Linked DNA regions of Lytechinus pictus. The protein of the gene in region 2 purifies or fractionates together with the protein of the main gene of each other region. This does not show direct contact. Links are inferred from orthologs where the notes say so. Each region holds a gene or a part of one and is shown on either strand. Other genes may lie near its edges.

Region 1 (8,707 bases), on a different chromosome or scaffold from region 2:
CATGGACTAATTAAAAGGGTGCTCCAGGCTGAAAATATTTTAAACAAATAGAGTGAAATACACTCAGTAAAATGCTGATAATTTCTTCAAAATCTGATAGCAAATAGTGAAGTTATTAAATTTTAAAGTTTAGCAATTACATTGTGAAAACAGTACGGTAATACGCTTGTCCTCATGAACATTCATTAGGCGAGCTGATGTCACATCCCCACTTTCCTTCTTCTTATCTTATTACATGAAATCATAATTGTTTCATTTTTTCATATATGTATGAATGATATGTGTCTCCTTTATAATGAAATAAGTTGCAGCAATGAATATCCAATGCACTATTGCTGTCAATCCAATTGGTTAATTGTTGGAGGAAAAAATTTGAATAAACCTAATTTCTTACAATAACATACCAAAAAACAAGTGGGGGAAATGACATCATCAGTTTGATCATTGAACATTTATGAAGACATGCCTAGAACTGTTTCACCGGAATAATGCAATCTATAAAATGCCATAACTTTGTTATTCTCTGTCCAATTTTGATCAAATTTTCGGTGTTTTGATTGTCTGATTTTCTTTATTTGTTCAAATCAGATATTTTCAGCCTGGAGTATCCCTTTAATAATCAGTGCATGAAGCCTTTATACAAGAGACTGAAACTGATGATTGAATAGCCCTGGCTATAATTCTGTTATTTACAAATGTGGACAGTATTTTTTCAGATGCAGTTTTTAAGAATGTTTCAAACATGAAAATAACCATGAGTCACAAAACTCTGTCTTGTATGGTAAGAACATGCAATTGAAAAGGGCAATTGTATTTCTGTGGGATACATTGGAAAATTTACAAAATCAACAACCAGCTATCTTGATCCCAGGGGAGCATTTCATCAACATTTATGTCCGACATGTTGTCAGATCTGACATCTTTCCTTGATTTTGATTGGCTGATAAGCAATGTTACTATGGTAACTGTCGGATAAAATGGGACTTGTCGGATAAAACGTCTGACAAGTCCTTTCATGAAACGCTCCCCAGATCTATTTTTAATTTTGAGAAAACAAAGGCATTAAAATGTTCTTTTTCCTTATTATTTTTCAATTCACTTTAAGAGTTCGTTGCAAAGTACTAAGTTAATAAAATTACTTTCTAGCACATGAATTGGTCATATATTTTCTTATTTGGTTGAAATTTTGGAGTACCGTAAGTAACGGTGTATTAACCGCACCCGTGTATAAACCGCACCCCCAACTTTGGACTAAAAAAAAAAAAAAAAAAAAAACCTCACATTTTCATGCATGTTTGAGGTACGAAAAAACAAAAACTAAGTTAAAGTTTTCAAAGAATTCAAAGAGATTACCAGTATGCAGAAATCTGCTGTTCTTGATCAATTCATCTACAAATGTTAGCAAGAAAGAAAGGTCCCGCCAATATTGGCAATTTACACACTCACTCACCTCACAGTCACAGTGTACACACACACAGCACTGCCTTTCTTGTACATGTACATTTCAAACTTCGATACGGTACCACTACCAGTACATCTTATCAAATTGTGATGTGTCTTTCACATTTCTTGCATCAAAACCTCACAATCACTTTCAGAATTTGTCTAGCATTCGATGTCTTAGCATGAATTTTGGATACGGGATTACAGGAAGGTTCAAGAAACAAAGAAATTGGTATTTTTTCCAGTTGTTTGACGGCTTCGTGCCGTCTCTCTCGTGCGTGGTGCACGGTGTACATGGTATCTTATGAAAAGCAAACGGGAAAGAAAAAAATAAGCTGGCGCGAAACGGGACTTTGAGGGGTTAAATTAAATGAATAGCGCCAGCTTAAGTCGTACTAAAACCACAATACAACGCAAGCTAGCTCTTGGCTCTCGCTCAGCTGTGACAAATTATTACTGAGAATGCTTGGCGTCTCTTTGAACTTAGCCAGGGAACTTCACTGCTTTGAATCGAGAATAAAGTCGAAATTAGTGTCATGAAGGTGGGTGCATTTGTTACGACAGTATTTGATCATAAGATCGTAATAATCGCTACCCATTACCCGCGGCTCATACCCCTCTAAACGACATTGCACTGGGCGGCTACGCCCGGCCACTCGATGTGTTGTGAACTGGCAGACTTCTTACATGTTCGGGAGGGGTTACGCGGGCGGGCTCAGACCCGTCACCGTGTATAAACCGCACCCCCGACTTTTGCTTATATCCCGCCGAGAAAAAGGTGCGGTTAATACACCGTTACTTACGGTAACTTTAGAATCCAATGTCGTAATTGATTATGAGAACATGGATACTAACTAGTGTTAGAACGAGACATCATATATGCGATACCAAAATTTTCAATTTTCAATCTCAAAAATAAAATTGAAATTGAATGTAACTTATGAGGTGTGAACGCATCTGGTTATGCTCTTAGTCTTGCTTTGCACAATATTTAGAAAGCTGTCAAGCAAAATTGTATCTACTACTTGATATGGGAGTTAATTAATTCAGGTACTAATAATACAAGGCTGGTCAGTTAAAGCATGACAAAGGCCTCTCCTCGATCTTGTATTCTTTATTCAGTCAACAACTTTCACATTATCTCATTTTTATTTTTTGTCACTTTTAATTATCACAATTCCACTGATTCTTGAAACAATAGAAAAGGGAAGCAGTAGTTCCTTGTCCTTGACTTGACATCACTGATCCTGCTAGCTGCTGTTACTTAAAATTTAATTTCAAGAAAAAAAACAAAGTCAAGCTAGTAAAAAAAATGAATGTCGTTTGACAATGACATTGACAGTTGTTGTGGCTTGTGCTGATGAGTGATGTTGTGTCACAATTCGATTCCTGACCTGTTTTGATAATGAAACATCTGAAATAGAAATTTAAAAAAATAAAAAGAACGTCACTGACTAAATCTAAATCATTATCAAAATCATCAGAACAGTAACAAGTCAAGAATAAACAACAGAGTATTCATGGTATTCAATATAATCTAACGTTGATAATACACTAATTATTCACTCCGCTCAAGCCTCCAGCTCAGCGACGTGACTTTGCCTTGCGTGCATATGCATAAGGCATGCCATGGCCATGGGAATGCCCATACAGCCCGGCGGTCTATGACTATGGTTTGCGTGCGGGTGGGACAGCCTACCTGAAGTTCAGCTCGTTCCACTTCCCACTGAGCGCGTTCCATTTCGAAACGAGCCCATTCATGTTGTATAAAATGTAAAATTCCTGGTATTGTGTAGTTGGGTCTTGGATGATCATCTTGTTGTTTACCGCTGATGTTATTTACAGAAGAAGTTCCAGAATTCATCTGATTAACGTGGTTTTGCGACAGTCCCGATTCACTATCCATTCTGTATCCAGTATCCTATCTTACTACTACGTCGCCATTTTGTTGAGATGATTGGATGTCACGCTAGTCTTTTTCAAGATATACCAGTAATGGAGAAATAGTGATTGAGTGTCCCAAAGGCCCAAACTGTAATATAAAGAAGGCTTTAGTGGGTAAAAATGTTCAACCCGAAATCAGCTCTATCCATGAAATTAATATAAGTTATCCATTCACCATGCATGCATGGGGATGCATCTCCCCTTCGACCTCCTTCCCTCCGATCTCATCAATTGACGTCATACTCATACACTTGAACAGACTACTGGTAGACTTACTGTTAGACTTGTGGTCTCTGAAAATTGGGGGTGGGTGAGGGATATACTTGGAGAAAGATTTTTGTTTGTCTGCTGCACAGATAGGATAAGATTATGGTACATTCACTTGCACGTTTTTCGTACTCCGGGCTCTACCCAAGTTTCCGACTGGTAAAAAAAAAAAAAAAAAAAAAAAAAAAAAAAACCCGACCCTGAGTGTTACCACTGGCGACACCATGCAGGTGCATGCCCACTCCTTGCGTCCCGAATCTAATTTGGTCTCATCATGGACCTAGTAGTATGTCCATGGTCTCATCATACCTCGTTGGTTTTATGACATCATTTAGTATATTAAATCATAAATTGGGTACCTGGGTACTTTTTTGTAGTGAACCCTCCCCTCCCCTTTTTTCTATTCAAATTTACATCAACATCCCTTGTAAACAAAAAATCGTTCTCAGTGTCCTGCTTCGTTTTCCTCTACAGAATTCTGCTATTCTCATGCACTCATTTCTGAAAAAGCTTGGTGCATTACCATTTTATAAATCGATATATAGGCCTAATAGTGTCCATGTGTATCAATGCGATCTATGTAACACATCATCGTGGTCTTGACAAGACTTTATAAGTCTTTAAAAAAATCATCTCTTTGCTCAGTTAAGATCAACGTTAATTCACTATTATTATCATCAGAACATTTGAAGTAAAATTTGTGTGTCAAAGTTTCAATTTATTTTATGAAATCATTCCTCCGATTTAATCATCTCCAACATCACAATCATGGTCATCTTTATCTTCATTGCCTTCATCTTCACCAGTGTCACCATCATCCTCATTACTCAAATTATGAACCGATACTTTTTGGTTTTAAAAAATGTCCCCATTCTTCTTTATAAATTAATTTTCAAGCAATCTGCTGATGACAACTGTTCTACGGCAAATTGTAAATGTAATAATGATTTGGTTGTAGATATTTTTTGTTTGAAATAGTAGTATCAATTTTAGAATTCATGCCAAAAAAGCCACCACCATTGTGTTTGTTATGTTATGATAATAAATGCAGAAGGAAATAATGAAATGAAATCACATTATTTTCCTGCCAGTAACATTAGTAATACTTAAAGGTTAAAACTCATCTAAGGCCGAGCTGACGTGATTGCTTTGGAACCGAGTAGACAGGAAAATAATAATCAAATTCTGTGAAAACAGTTACTGGTGACAATGGTGCTTGTTGAGAACAAATCGACACCATCCTCCCCCAAGAAAGAAAATGAAGGGAAAAGAGAGGAGAAAAAAGAAGGGGAAACATAAGAAGAGGAAGACGACTGAATGACATAAATGAGGGGAAGACTTAGAAAATAATCAAAAAAAATATTTTATGTTACTATATAAAATTTTCGCTCGCGCTTCGCGCTCGCTTTGCCTTTTAGGTGAATTACATTATCTTGCTCAATATGGAGCTTCAAATATCAAATTTCGAAGTCAATATACAAAACATATTTCAGCTCGGAAATCGAACTTTCATTATTTTGTTTGATTTACAAATTGATTTTTAAAAAGTGCTCTGTAAAAATGTATGTTTTATGGTGGAATATTAAAATTTTCTGCTCGCGCTGCGCGCTCGCAAAATTTGATTTGTCAGGTATATTATTTTCCTGTATTCCATAAAGTTCTCAAAATATCCCTATTCAGATCAGATTGTCAAAGCATATCAGCTAGAGCTGCAAGCTCGCATTTTGATGAGTTGTGTATATCTCAATATTAATTCTCAAACAAACTACTTAAAATCCCCGTTTCATGAAAGTTCATCAAAAATTTCGGCTAGCGATTTGCGCTCGCATTGATTGTTGAAAAGATAAAACTCATGTATCTTATTCATAATTACAAAAGTGCTTAAAATGTCCAGTTTTCAGGCCGCTAAAATTTCGCGCTCTCATTAGGCTTATTAGAATAATGAATATTAATTTAATAATCAAGTTGTCCCTTTTTCATAATGGAATATCGACAAGTTTAATCTCGCGCTAGGAGGAGAAATAGGAAGATAGTCATCATTTATGATGACATAATGTCCTTATAGAATGTCCCGGCCCTATGTCAAAACTCAAAGTAATAATAATGAAACATATCAGCTCTTTTTTTAACTGTGATCCATATCCACCTCACAATTTTCCTACAAAGTATTTGAAATACAAAGCTTAAATCAACCCTTTTTCAGATCGGAATATCAAATATTTTAAGCCCGCACTTCGCGCTCGCTTTATTGATTTTCATGATAAAAAAGCTATTTAGAATACCCAAATTCTAGGTCGATATCAGATACGCAGCTTGTTCTCTATCTAAATCATTATCCAATTTCAGATCACAAACTATCAAAAATTTTCTGCTCGCGCTTTGCGCTCGCATTATTAATGTAAGAAGATTTCCAATTAGGCCTACTCATCCTTTCCATGATTTAAAAAACATGAATAGAGTGTCCTATATCTTTAGGTGTAAATCTCAAATTTGTCCGCTCGCGCTTCAAGCTCGCATCAATCGTTTAGTTATAGGCCTACACTTATCCTTTCACGATTAAAAAACGTGCTTAGAATTTCCATTCTTCAGGTAATAAGTCAACATTTTCAGTTCGTGCTTCGCTCTCGCATTATTTGATAGTTGAGATATGTAACGTCTTCATGGCTATCAAGCAGCCATTAACAAGCCATTAACAGATACTCTTTTGATCAGATTAAAACGTATATTAAAAATAAAAATAATTCTAGTCGCGATTTTTTTCCGCTCGCGCTTCGCGCTCGCATCTATTATTTAGTTATTATTTAATTACTTATCCTTTTCACGATTACCAAATGTGCTTAGAATTTCCATTATCAGGTAGAAATGTCAAAATTTTCAGCTCGCGCTTCGCGCTCGCATTATTTGATAGTTGAAATATGTAAGGTTATCATGGCTAACAAGCACTAGATCCTTTTTTGATCAGATCAAAACCTATATGAAAAAAATATTCTGATCGCGCTTCGCGCTCGCAGTAATTATTTAGTTTGATACACATCTCGTTTAACATCAGAAACATTGTCCAGAATGTTTAAATTTCAGGACAAAATACATAAAATAAAAAAGTTTGAATAAGGCTTATGAGATTAGTTTATATTTATGTTGATTTATAAGAATAAAGCATAGAAGTGACTATTAGGACTACCCCTTCATCAGGGGCGGATCCAGCCTTCGCCAATAGGGGGGGGGGGCGGAATTTGTTTTCAGCCACATTTTCCCCGATCGGCCGCTCGAAGTTAATTTTTGTTTGTTTCTTTGAAGGGGTAGTCCTAATAGTCACTTTTAAGCTTTATATATATGTGTGTGCTGAGGGCCCCCTTACATTATATAATATCATAAGCCTTATTTAAAGAGTGCGAGCGCGAAGCGCGAGCAGAAATTTTTAATATGCATTTTGATCTGATAAAAAAAGCATCTGTTGACGGCAGCTTCTTAGCCATAAAGACGTTACATATTTCAACTATCAAATAATGCGAGCGCGAAGCGCGAGCTGAAAATTTTGGCATTTTTACCTGAAGAATGGAAAACGATAAGTATAATAATTTAATAAATGATGCGAGCGCAAAGCGCGAGCTGAAAAATTCGAGATCTAAACCTAAAATGGGACACTCTATTCATATTTTGTAAATCATGAAAAGGATGTGTAATTGGAAATCTTCCTATATTAATAATGCGAGCGCAAAGCGCGAGCAGAATTTTTTTTATCAATTTTTATTATACGTTTTGATCTGATCATAAGAAAAAGGATCTGTTAACGGCTGCTTATTAGCCATGAAGACGTTACATATTTTAACTATCAAATAATGCGAACGCGAAGCGCGAGCTGAAAATTTTGGCATTTTTACCTGAAGAATGGAAAACGATAAGTATATAATTTAATAAATGATGCGAGCGCAAAGCGCGAGCTGAAAAATTCGAGATCTAAACCTAAAATGGGACACTCTATTCATATTTTGTAAATCATGAAAAGGATATGTAATTGGAAATCTTCCTATATTAATAATGCGAGCGCAAAGCACGAGCAGAATTTTTTTAATTAATTTTTATTATACGTTTTGATCTGATCATAAGAAAAAGGATCTGTTAACGGCTGCTTGTTAGCCATGAAGACGTTACATATTTTAACTATCAAATAATGCGAACGCGAAGCGCGAGCTGAAAATTTTGACATTTCTACCTGAAGAATGGAAATTCTAAGCACTTTTTCTAATCGTGAAAAGAATAAGTATATAACTAAACAATTAGTGATGCAAGCGCGAAGCGCGAGCGGAAAAATTCTGGACACTCTATTCATGTTTTGTAAATCATGAAAAGGATGAGTAATTGGAAAGTTTCCTACATTGCAAAGCGCGAGCAGACAATTTTTGATATTGTGATCTGAAACTGGATAATGATTTAAATAGAGAACAAGCTGCGTATCTGAATAAACACGTGTTTCAGATTTCTACCTAGTATTTAGGCATTCTAAATACATTTTTTATAATGAAAATCAAAGCGAGTGCGAAGCGCGAGCTTAAACTATTTGATATTTCGATCTGAAACGAGAGTAAATTTTAGCTCTATATTTCAAGCACTTTGTAGGAAAATTGTGAGGTTGATATGGATCACACTTAAAGAGCTGATTTTTTAATAATTATTATTACTTTGAGTTTGAACATAGGACCGGGACATCGTTAGGACATGAATATGAAAATGACTATATCTTCCTATTCCTCTTGCTAAGCGCGAGATGAAACAACAGGGGCAATTTAATTATTAAATTAATATCTTATTAATTAATGCTAATGAGGGCGCGAATTATGATGACATTATGGCCTGAAAACTGGACATTCCAAGTCTTTTTGTAATTATAAATAGGATGCATCAGTTAATATATTTTAACCATTAATGCGAGTGCAAATCGCGACCCAAATTTTTTGATAAACTGTCATGAAAAGGGGATTTTAAGTACATGTAGTTTGTTGTATAATCAATATTGAGACATACACAACTCGCCAATCAAAATGAGAGCGTGCCG
Region 2 (9,583 bases):
ACTGTATAATTCTGTAGGAGGCAAATTAGATACATGCAGTCAAATTATAAAAGCAGTATTTATGCTAAATTTGGTACTTTCAAAAGTGCAAAACTTTTAATTGCCCTTAAATGGATACATAATCATTTACCCATGAACAAATAAGTCCATTGAATACATTGTCATTTTCAGATCTTTGTTTAAATAGGTGGTCTGTCTCTGACAGATTACCTCTTAATTTCGTCAGAATTTTCTTTCTTTATTTATTTTTAGCACCAATGTTTGTCGCCAAGTTTTCTCAAAATCTGTTCGGTCATTTTCTGTCAATCTATTGTCATATATAAAGTCTATAATAGAGACGCGGAGTTAAGCTTTTCAAGGTCATCAGGTCATGATGACGTCATCTAGGCGCCATTTTGTAAAATTCTTTATTTGATCATATCTTCATAACGGATCATCAATAATCCATCATATTAACTTTAGGACAAAGTTCAACTGTCGATGTCATCAAAGGTTATGCACAGGTCATGACGCGCGAGTACGTGCGCGTCAAAATAAAAAAAGCGAAAAATCGTCCATGATTAATTTTGGGTACGTTTCAGGTCATTTTAAGAATTTCAACATTTTGCGCGCACGTCTTTGTGCATAACAGCGTTACGCAGCAAAAAATCGCTGTTTTTTCTATCTGTATCCATTAATGATATAATTCTGATCAAATTGATACCTCGATCAGCTCTCTACGATCATTAATGAGGGAATGAGCACCCACTAAAGTTTGCAGCATATGTGCTCGCGAGCTTTAACTATAGGCCATAGATGGGCAAAAACATGCCTATTGAAAATTCATTATAGCTCTTCAGAACGAACGGGGACCCCCAATTTTTTTTCATATTTCGATAGAGTATGAATCATAGATATGATTTCATGTCTCATTTGACCCTAACATATATCATGACGTCATCAAAAGGGCGTCAGAAGTCCAAATTTCATTTTTTTTTTGTTATGACGTCATTATAATTATGAAAATTTTACTCTTACTCCATAAATATTGGTCAATTTTTGCCCAATTTTTGATATGTTGTAGCTTAGGTCTTACTCTTTCTGAATTATGACCTTTATTTTTCATTTTGATGAACGGATCATCCTGAAAAATTGCAATTTTTAGAGGCATGTCATTTTTGCTCATTTTGCGTGCAATCGCTATGGTAGATGACTTTTTCTTAAAACTGGATTCTACATTCCTCTATTTCGTGAGCCATATCTTCACCTTTGCTTGTCGGTTTTCCTTGAGCTTTTAGTATGTTGTAGCTGAGATTCTAAGCTTTCGCAATTGTTGCCTTAATCTTCCGATCAGATGCCGGGATCATGCCCGTATTTCACTTGCAAAATTGGATTTGAGATTCTCGTATATTGCATACATGTAAAGTCTATGGGAAATATTGTAGCTCAATGGGTAAGGCGTCAGACTTGCATCTCATTCAGTCATGCAGGCACGGGTTCGAGTCCGAGGGTGAATATGAAATTTTTTTTTTTTTTTTTTTACTTTTTACTATCTCGCACATGATCTTTTATAACAATTCTAATGAATAATAGTTCAAATATTGCAAACTAAAACAGATTTAATTACTTTTTTTCATATTTTATCTATCCTTTTAATCATATCTGTCTATCTATCCGTTATCTATGTTAAAAATCGATCAATCTATCTGTCTAGCTATCTATCGATCTATCTATCTGTCTATCTATCTACCTACATGATACATGTATCTATCTATCTATATATCTATCTCTATGTCTAATATATATCTATCTAATAAAATATGTCTATCTATCTATCTATCTATCTATCTGCCTGTCTCTCTAACTATTTTCTATCGATCTATCTATCTATATCTGTTTGAATATATCTGTCTATCTATCCATTTAGCTTTCAATCTAATATTTATCTGTTTAAATAATTATGTATGTTTATCTATCTATCTATCTTCTATCAATCTATCCACCTATATTTTATTTATCCACAAATCCATCGATCTTTATATCTATTTATCTATCTATCCATCCATCTATCTATGTTATATCTATCTGTTTAAATATATATGTCTATATGTATGTCTATCTTTTTATCTTTCATTCTGATATCTATTGATCTGTTACAATAATTATGTCTGTTTATTTGTCTGTCTATCTATCTATCTAATATATATCTATCTATCTATTAAATCTGATTGTTATTCTATCTTTCTATCTATATGTCTATCTATCATTAAATATATACATACATGTATACGGTATATCTATTTTCTATCTGTCTGTCTATCTATCTTACTATCCATCTATCTATTTATCTATCTGTCTGTCTATCTGTGTTTGTACATATGTATCTATCTGTCTCTGAATCTATGTGTATAACAAATTTATCATAATCACTGTTATCATCATCATATTTGTCATAAATCATTATCATCATCATCATCGTAATTTTTGTCATTAATCATTATCTATTTATCTATCTATCTCAATATATAATATACCAGTCTATCTTCTATTAATCTATCCACCAATCATTTATTTCTCCATCCATCTATCTATCTATTTTTCTTTCTTTCCTATATGTATCTGTTTAAATATACATGTCTATCTGTCTGTCTGTTTATCTTTCAATCTAATATCTACTCATTTGTTTAAATAATTATGTCTGTTTATCCATTAATCGATCTATGACAGACCACCTAATTCGTCCTCATGACGAATTAAAATCTAGTTAATGAATTGAAATGCAAAATGCTTAAATGATTATGCTTGTTAATTTTATGTATTCAAGAACTGATATGCCACTCTTTGAATTTTTTTTGTATTCCAAACGATTCTCAAATTTTGCATTATGTTAGATGAATAAGATGAGAATAGAAATTTCCTTCATTAGGTTTCCTGAATTTCAGTTTTCATTGAATTTATCATTGAATTTATCAACCAGCAGAGATGCTATGTATTGTACATTGATAAAACATCAATATCTCAACTTTAAAAAAATGTATGAACAAGCTTTGATCATTGAAGCATTGCATGTCATTGCTCAATGATCGAATAAGTCTAAAGCCATCAATATGTCATATGGACCGTTACTACATTGGTATATCCCAATGACCACAATTACTAACCATCCATAGTTATATTTTTAATTTGGTATACAATTCAATAGGAATGTCATACAATAACAAGTGTATCATCAATTGTTTTATACTTTTAGTAGGAATATGTAGATAGTCATAAGTACTTCTATCTTAGTTCCAAGCAAAATAGTGCAATCTAATTTGTACAAACCTCAACAGAATTTCCCTGATATTGTTGGTTTTAAAATATTAAGTAAAGGAACCTTGAAAGAGACACATAACATCCCAGTGAGAGGAACCAAAACAATTATGTATCATGAACAATCTTTTGATGTGTAATATTCCTAAAAAATACTTGAAAATATTTTTGAAAATGTTTCCTAGATGTAGTTTATATATATGCTAATATTCAGTAAGGTCAGGTTAAAAAAATAACCCTACATAAATCCAAGGTCCAAGTATTTTGTTTGACCTATACTATGATACTCAAGCAGCTGCAAATAAGTCTGACAATGTATTATTTACCTGCGATTTCAGAGGTATATCTATGGGCATCATCATACTCAAAATCCAAGTCAGGTGTATCATTTTGGCCCTGAAATTATAAGATACAAATACAATATGAATGTGACTTCATCTATGTACATTAGATTTAAAACAAAATAGACAAGGAAAAATGCAATACGTGGAGGATCCACTCCCGGGAAGGGGGGTGAGGGCAAACTTTTTCTTCAAAATGCTCTGACAAGAAAAAAAGGGGTCAAAGGCCACCACATTTGTTTTTACTTCTCCCATAAATATATTTTGGCAAGTAAAAAATGGTCATCACTTTAATTGCAATCCCATTTGATGAGGGGTGGAGGCAAGAAATTAGACAAATTTCGATTCCCTTTGTCAAAATTTATCATATTTTTCCGCCTCTGCGTCACTGTGACAAAGTGCATGCATGTGCAATAAAATCATGAAGCATCACATATAGAGGTGATTTGGCTGAGTGGATATGTCTCTGGACAATAAACTACAAGATCCAGGGCTCAAATTCTTTTTCATTGCAACTCTCCACCTCGTTGTAGTAAATTGGTACCAGGTAGGAAGAAATTCCCAAAGTGCCTGAGTGCTCTCACTTCACTTTTTTCTTTGGTTGCCAGCTGGGCAACCTATACCAATTTACCTTTCCAAATGGCATTTTAGGTTGCCATTATGAAGTTCAGGTAATAATTGATGATTGTACACAGAATGTGTGAACCATCGATAGCACACCCCTTCAAAATGTTGCATGTTTTACAAGACCTACCTGTATATAGTCTAATTGTTTTTATTCAATGTAATAACTGAAATTCAGAAAAATCATACTAGACCTTGTAAAACCCTTTGTTTTATACCAGTCACTCCTTGATATATATAGATAAGCTCATGCCAAAGGGAGCATTCAAATTTTCACAGAATCCATGAACGAGGTAGCGAAGCAAATTTTGTTTTCCTTCAGACAAATAACTGCTAGAGAGGAAGGTATTTCAAGCTATTTTACTCCTGTGTTTAATATAGTCAACCTATGAAAAGTATTCATTATAATATGATAACATAAAATACAGTCCGGCCTCTTTTATCCAGACACGTTGGGACCAGCACCAATCCGGATAAGGGATTTATCCGGATCTGGGAGTCCCAATATTAAATACACGCAGCTGTGCTGCTGGCTGCCTCCCCAGCCCAACGGCGGTAGCTACACATTATATATTGTAGTGGGCGTACAGACAGTATTCACTGCAGTGTCAGTGCAAATTATAGGCGGTATTTTACGGAAATGAAATCGATCGATGGCCATAACTGTTGGATTATTTACCTGCTAAAATGATTGAGGTATACATCGAGCATACCTCGAAAGAAAGAGAATGACTCGATGAAACTAAGTTTTACAATTAGATCGCGACGGGTATCGCAGCTTCGCAATGTCAGCCATTGTTACACTGACTGTAGGCTCAAACATGACAGATGGAGCAGTCCGTATTGAGGCTTAACATTAGCTAGCGAGACATGTGTTGTTTTTCCCAGAAAGCAAAAAGAGAAACGTGATGAAATGTTTGCGCTGCGCCCTGATTTACTGGAAATTATCATGCCTAAGTTCTTTCGGTGAGATATTTTCATGAAAAAAATAATTTTGTTGTAGGTAGACTATATTGGAAAATATATGTAATCAAAGTGAGTTTGCGTATAGGATTAAGTTTAGATTGAAATCTCATTTCCTCACGTACTAGATTGAATTAAAAAAAAAAAAAAAAAAAAATCTCGGCAAGTGTGCGTCTGGATAATAGAGAGATCCGGATAAGGGGAGGCCGGATAAGAGAGGTCTGACTGTAAATATATAAAATTTGAATATACGTGTTATATTTATATGTGTTACAGCTGAAGGTCTATTTGCAATGTAACAGTCAGACGGCAGATCCCAAGAAAGTGGCTTCTTTCATCCAAGTGATATTCATGACTTGAGATGTTTTGCATATTTAATGAGCTTGATGCGGACCAAAACACCTCTTTTCATTCGGTCATTGCTGCTCTACTTGTGCATCGAATTTCATGAATTTGGTATCATTGTAAAGAAGAAGAATCATTCTTTCAGGTCATGTGTTTGAATTTATTCAAAGATTTTGTAATATAGGTTAAAATTTTGATCTAAAATATGCTACAAAATAATTATTTTCACCTGACAAAAGCTGCTATTTTCACACTTTATTTTTGTTTGAGCCCAAATGATTTTTAGATCATGACAAAGCTGAATATGTATGCTTTAAAATGATATAGGTTTCAAAATAAGAATTGGTTTAATCGGGTCAAGATCACACTTTTCATTTGCCAAGTACATAAAGCAGCTTGAAAACAAGAATACTGCACTCTGATTGGTCAAAGAGACCACACACTGGCAAATTCCAACGGTTCCAGTGCATGGGTTCATGGGAAGGGCACACTTCCCATGTGGTAATCTCCTCAAATACCCCGCGCCTGTTGTTCTGTGAATCTTATCCAGCCAATCAGAACTCTGGATTTCATGCAAGTACAAAATTTCAGAAATCTCGTCTTGTACCTTGGTGGGAAAAGTGTGATCTTGACCCGATTAAAAGGTGCCGCATATGAAGAGTGGCATTGTGAGAAAGTACAGAAGTTCAGCTTTATGGTGATATATATATCATTGAGGCTCAAAATAAAAAGTTTTGCACAATTTGCAAAAGAAAACAGAGGAAGAAAATTCTGTTTTGAGGCACATTTTCAGGCCAGAAATTTACTTATTTAACAAAATATTGTATACAAAATAAATGACCAATATGACAGAGTAACATTTACTCTATCTGATGGTGCAATAATATTTCATTTAACTTGAGGTTAAAACCGGTAAATTCTTAGAGAAAGAAAATCTCACGAATCACGAGATTTTGCAAGGAGGAGGATTCAGCCACGAGATGATTTGGATGAATCTGGCCTTTTTGCTCATTAGCATAGGGACCTGCGGTCTGACTGGTAATACATGTATAATCCAGTTTGCACACTACTCGTTGCTCTGTCTGTCAAGCCTCTTAGTCCGGGATAGGCCCCATAGAGAATTGACCAAACCCCCGGGGGGGCCACTTACATTGACGAGTGGATACCATGCGCGACCAAAAAAACACGTAAAAAGGATGTCTTTTTCAAGATAGGGCACGTTACGTACGTAACGTGATAAGGGTGTCAAAAACACAAAAAATAATGAAAAAAGGGTATCAATTTCGCTAGAAAAGCTACGTGTTTAGGGTCAAATTTGCGGGGATGATAAAACAAAATTAAAATGTTTTATAAAGGATGTCCTTTTTGCCCCAACACTACGTGTTTAGAGTCCGATTTGCAAGAGGTGTGGAAGGTGGGGCCGTACTAAACCAAACGGTGTGTAAAGGTAAAACCGACGACCGACGGACCCGTGACATATCGCTGTACTTGTTTAGGGGTTCATTTCAGGGAATACTTGCCATGCAAGAGTATCATTTTCTTTCCAATACTTGTTAAGGGTAGGGTTTCAGACGCCAATAATACTTGTTATTGCATTTTCAGAATATGGAAAATACGTGTTTAGGGTGCTTTTTGAGACCACATGGTCGCGCATGGTATCCACTCGTCAATGGAAGTGGCCCCCCCGGGACCAAACCTTGTTTATTGTATATACAATAATTTTTGATGGTTTCTTGTCAATTCAAGGGTGCTGATTACGAATCTGGATGATGCCACTCGTCTAACCTTGAGCATTTTCCGCAAATTGACAAAATCCAATATGGCCGCCAAAATATGCAAATTACCCATGAAAATCATAAAATCGTCCGCCCATTGGCTATGAAATGCATGAAATTGTGTGGCAGGAGTGAAACACTCTCTGAAAAAATAATTTTTGACAAAATTCTATACTCTTTTATGTACAATATGAATAGGGAAAACTAATTATCACACAAATGAGCACTAAACTGCAAAAATCGCGTTGTATGAACGAAGTAACATATGCAAATCATCATTACTAACGAGATATATCATTTATCATGTCATATATGAGAACATTGCTGTATTTTGATGTCTAAAATAGCCGCCACTGGCCCAAAGAGTATTATGTACAATGGCAATCATATGGCCGGGGCCCAAAAAATGACAAGAGTGAGCACTGAATTGCATATTATTAAGATAAACGAGTGGAATACTGACATAATTGTTAATATGCCATTCATAAATAATTCATTGATAAATGCTGAATTTTGAAATTCAAAATGGCTGCCATAGGCCCTATATTTATCATGTACAATGCGAATGGAGAAACTAATTTTCACACGAGTAGAAAAATAAAATGCATGTAATTGTGATCTACGAGTAAAATATTGTCTGACAAGTAACATGTTTCATTGCAAGACATATCATTTCTTTTGTCATGCATGAGATAAATGCTGTATTATGAAATTCAAAATGGCCCCTGTAGGCCCTAACAGTATTATCTACTTCTACTATGTGAATGGGGACATATAATTTTGTAAGAATTTGGATTTGCTTGACTATGACATCCATATAATCCTGTTGTATGAGTAAAATGTTATTTGAAAACATATTTTTTATATAAATTATAGCATTTCTTCTGCCATATAGTTGATAAATACTGTATTTTGACATTCAAAATAACCTCTACGATGTCTACAAGCCCTAACTAAGTTATGTAACATGCGAACAGGGAAACTAATTTTCACAAGAGTGAGAATCATAAAATGCATATAACTGTGATGTACGAGTAAAAATATTGTCTTAAACATGATTTCTAACTAAATACATCACATATTGGTCGTGGAGGTAATAAATGCTGTACTTTGAAATTCAAAATGGCTGCCATAGGTCCTAAAAGTATTGTGTACATTGTAACATGGGACATATAAGGGCATATGGGCAGCCATTTTGAATATTGAAATATAGTATTTATCACCTAAATTACATAAGATATGATATATTTTGTTATAAATCATGTTTTCAGACAATATTTCACTCATACATCACCATTTGGCCAAGCAAAGCCAAATTCCGTTGAAATGATTTGTTCCCACTCACATTGTGCATAATACCGCAAGGGCCTGTAGCGGCCATTTTGACTTAAAAATAACAGTATTTATCACCTAACTCGCAGAATAAATGATATATCTTAATAGAAATTATGCTTTCAGACAATGTTTTACTCATAGATCACTACTACATGCATTTATGGTGCTCACTCCTGTGAATATTGGTTTCCCACTTTGCATTGTACATAATACAGTCAATGTCTATGGCGGCCATTTTGAAAGTCAAAATACAGTATTTAACACAAACTTAAAACCTGAATGATATATTTCGTTGAAAAATACGTTTTTAGAAAGTATCCTATTTAATTTATTACATATATATATGCATTTTAGTGCTCACTCACTTTTTTGTGTGATTTCTTTGCACCTCTTTCTCATTGTGCATAATACTTTTAGGGCCTTTGGCAGCCATTTTGAATATCAAAATACAACATTCATCACATACATGGCTTACTAATAATATATTTCGTTAACAATTATGTTTTTAGTCAGTATTCCACTCGTTTAATCTTCATAATAAGCATTTTTAATTTGAGGGCGCTTTGAAGATAATGTAGAAGGATTTTCTCTCCAAATCCACAATAACGGACCTTCTTTGAACTACTTCTCAGCATCATAAGGTAATATAATATCTGATTGACTGGATTTGCACCATTTATTGATTTTTGTCGCTTCTTATGTGTTGATAATGTCAAATACAAGATCTAAATCTGCCGCGTACACCGGCAAACTCAGTGACACGCCCATTTCTAATACGTACGCTACGGAGGAAGCGGTGTCGGACCAATTTGACAAATTCTCTTCAAAAGTTCTAGACAAACTTGATAATGTAACGGCAACATTATTATCAGTTCGAGATGAAATGAAAAATATCAAATCTTCTCTCCA

What was found.
Region 1: the proteins of striatin-interacting protein 1 homolog (region 2) and striatin-3-like purify together in Drosophila melanogaster (affinity purification with western blotting; 4 studies listed by BioGRID, with this or other methods). This does not show direct contact. The link is inferred for Lytechinus pictus from reciprocal best matches to the Drosophila melanogaster genes Strip and Cka.

What each region holds. Positions count from the first base shown.
Region 1 is NC_087251.1:17,504,858-17,513,564, reverse strand, and holds the start of striatin-3-like, read right to left. Parts: upstream 3,637-8,707; 5' UTR 3,350-3,636; coding exon 3,143-3,349; intron 1-3,142.
Region 2 is NC_087247.1:65,373,151-65,382,733, forward strand, and holds the start of striatin-interacting protein 1 homolog, read right to left. Parts: upstream 4,279-9,583; coding exon 4,264-4,278; intron 3,688-4,263; coding exon 3,618-3,687; intron 12-3,617; coding exon 1-11.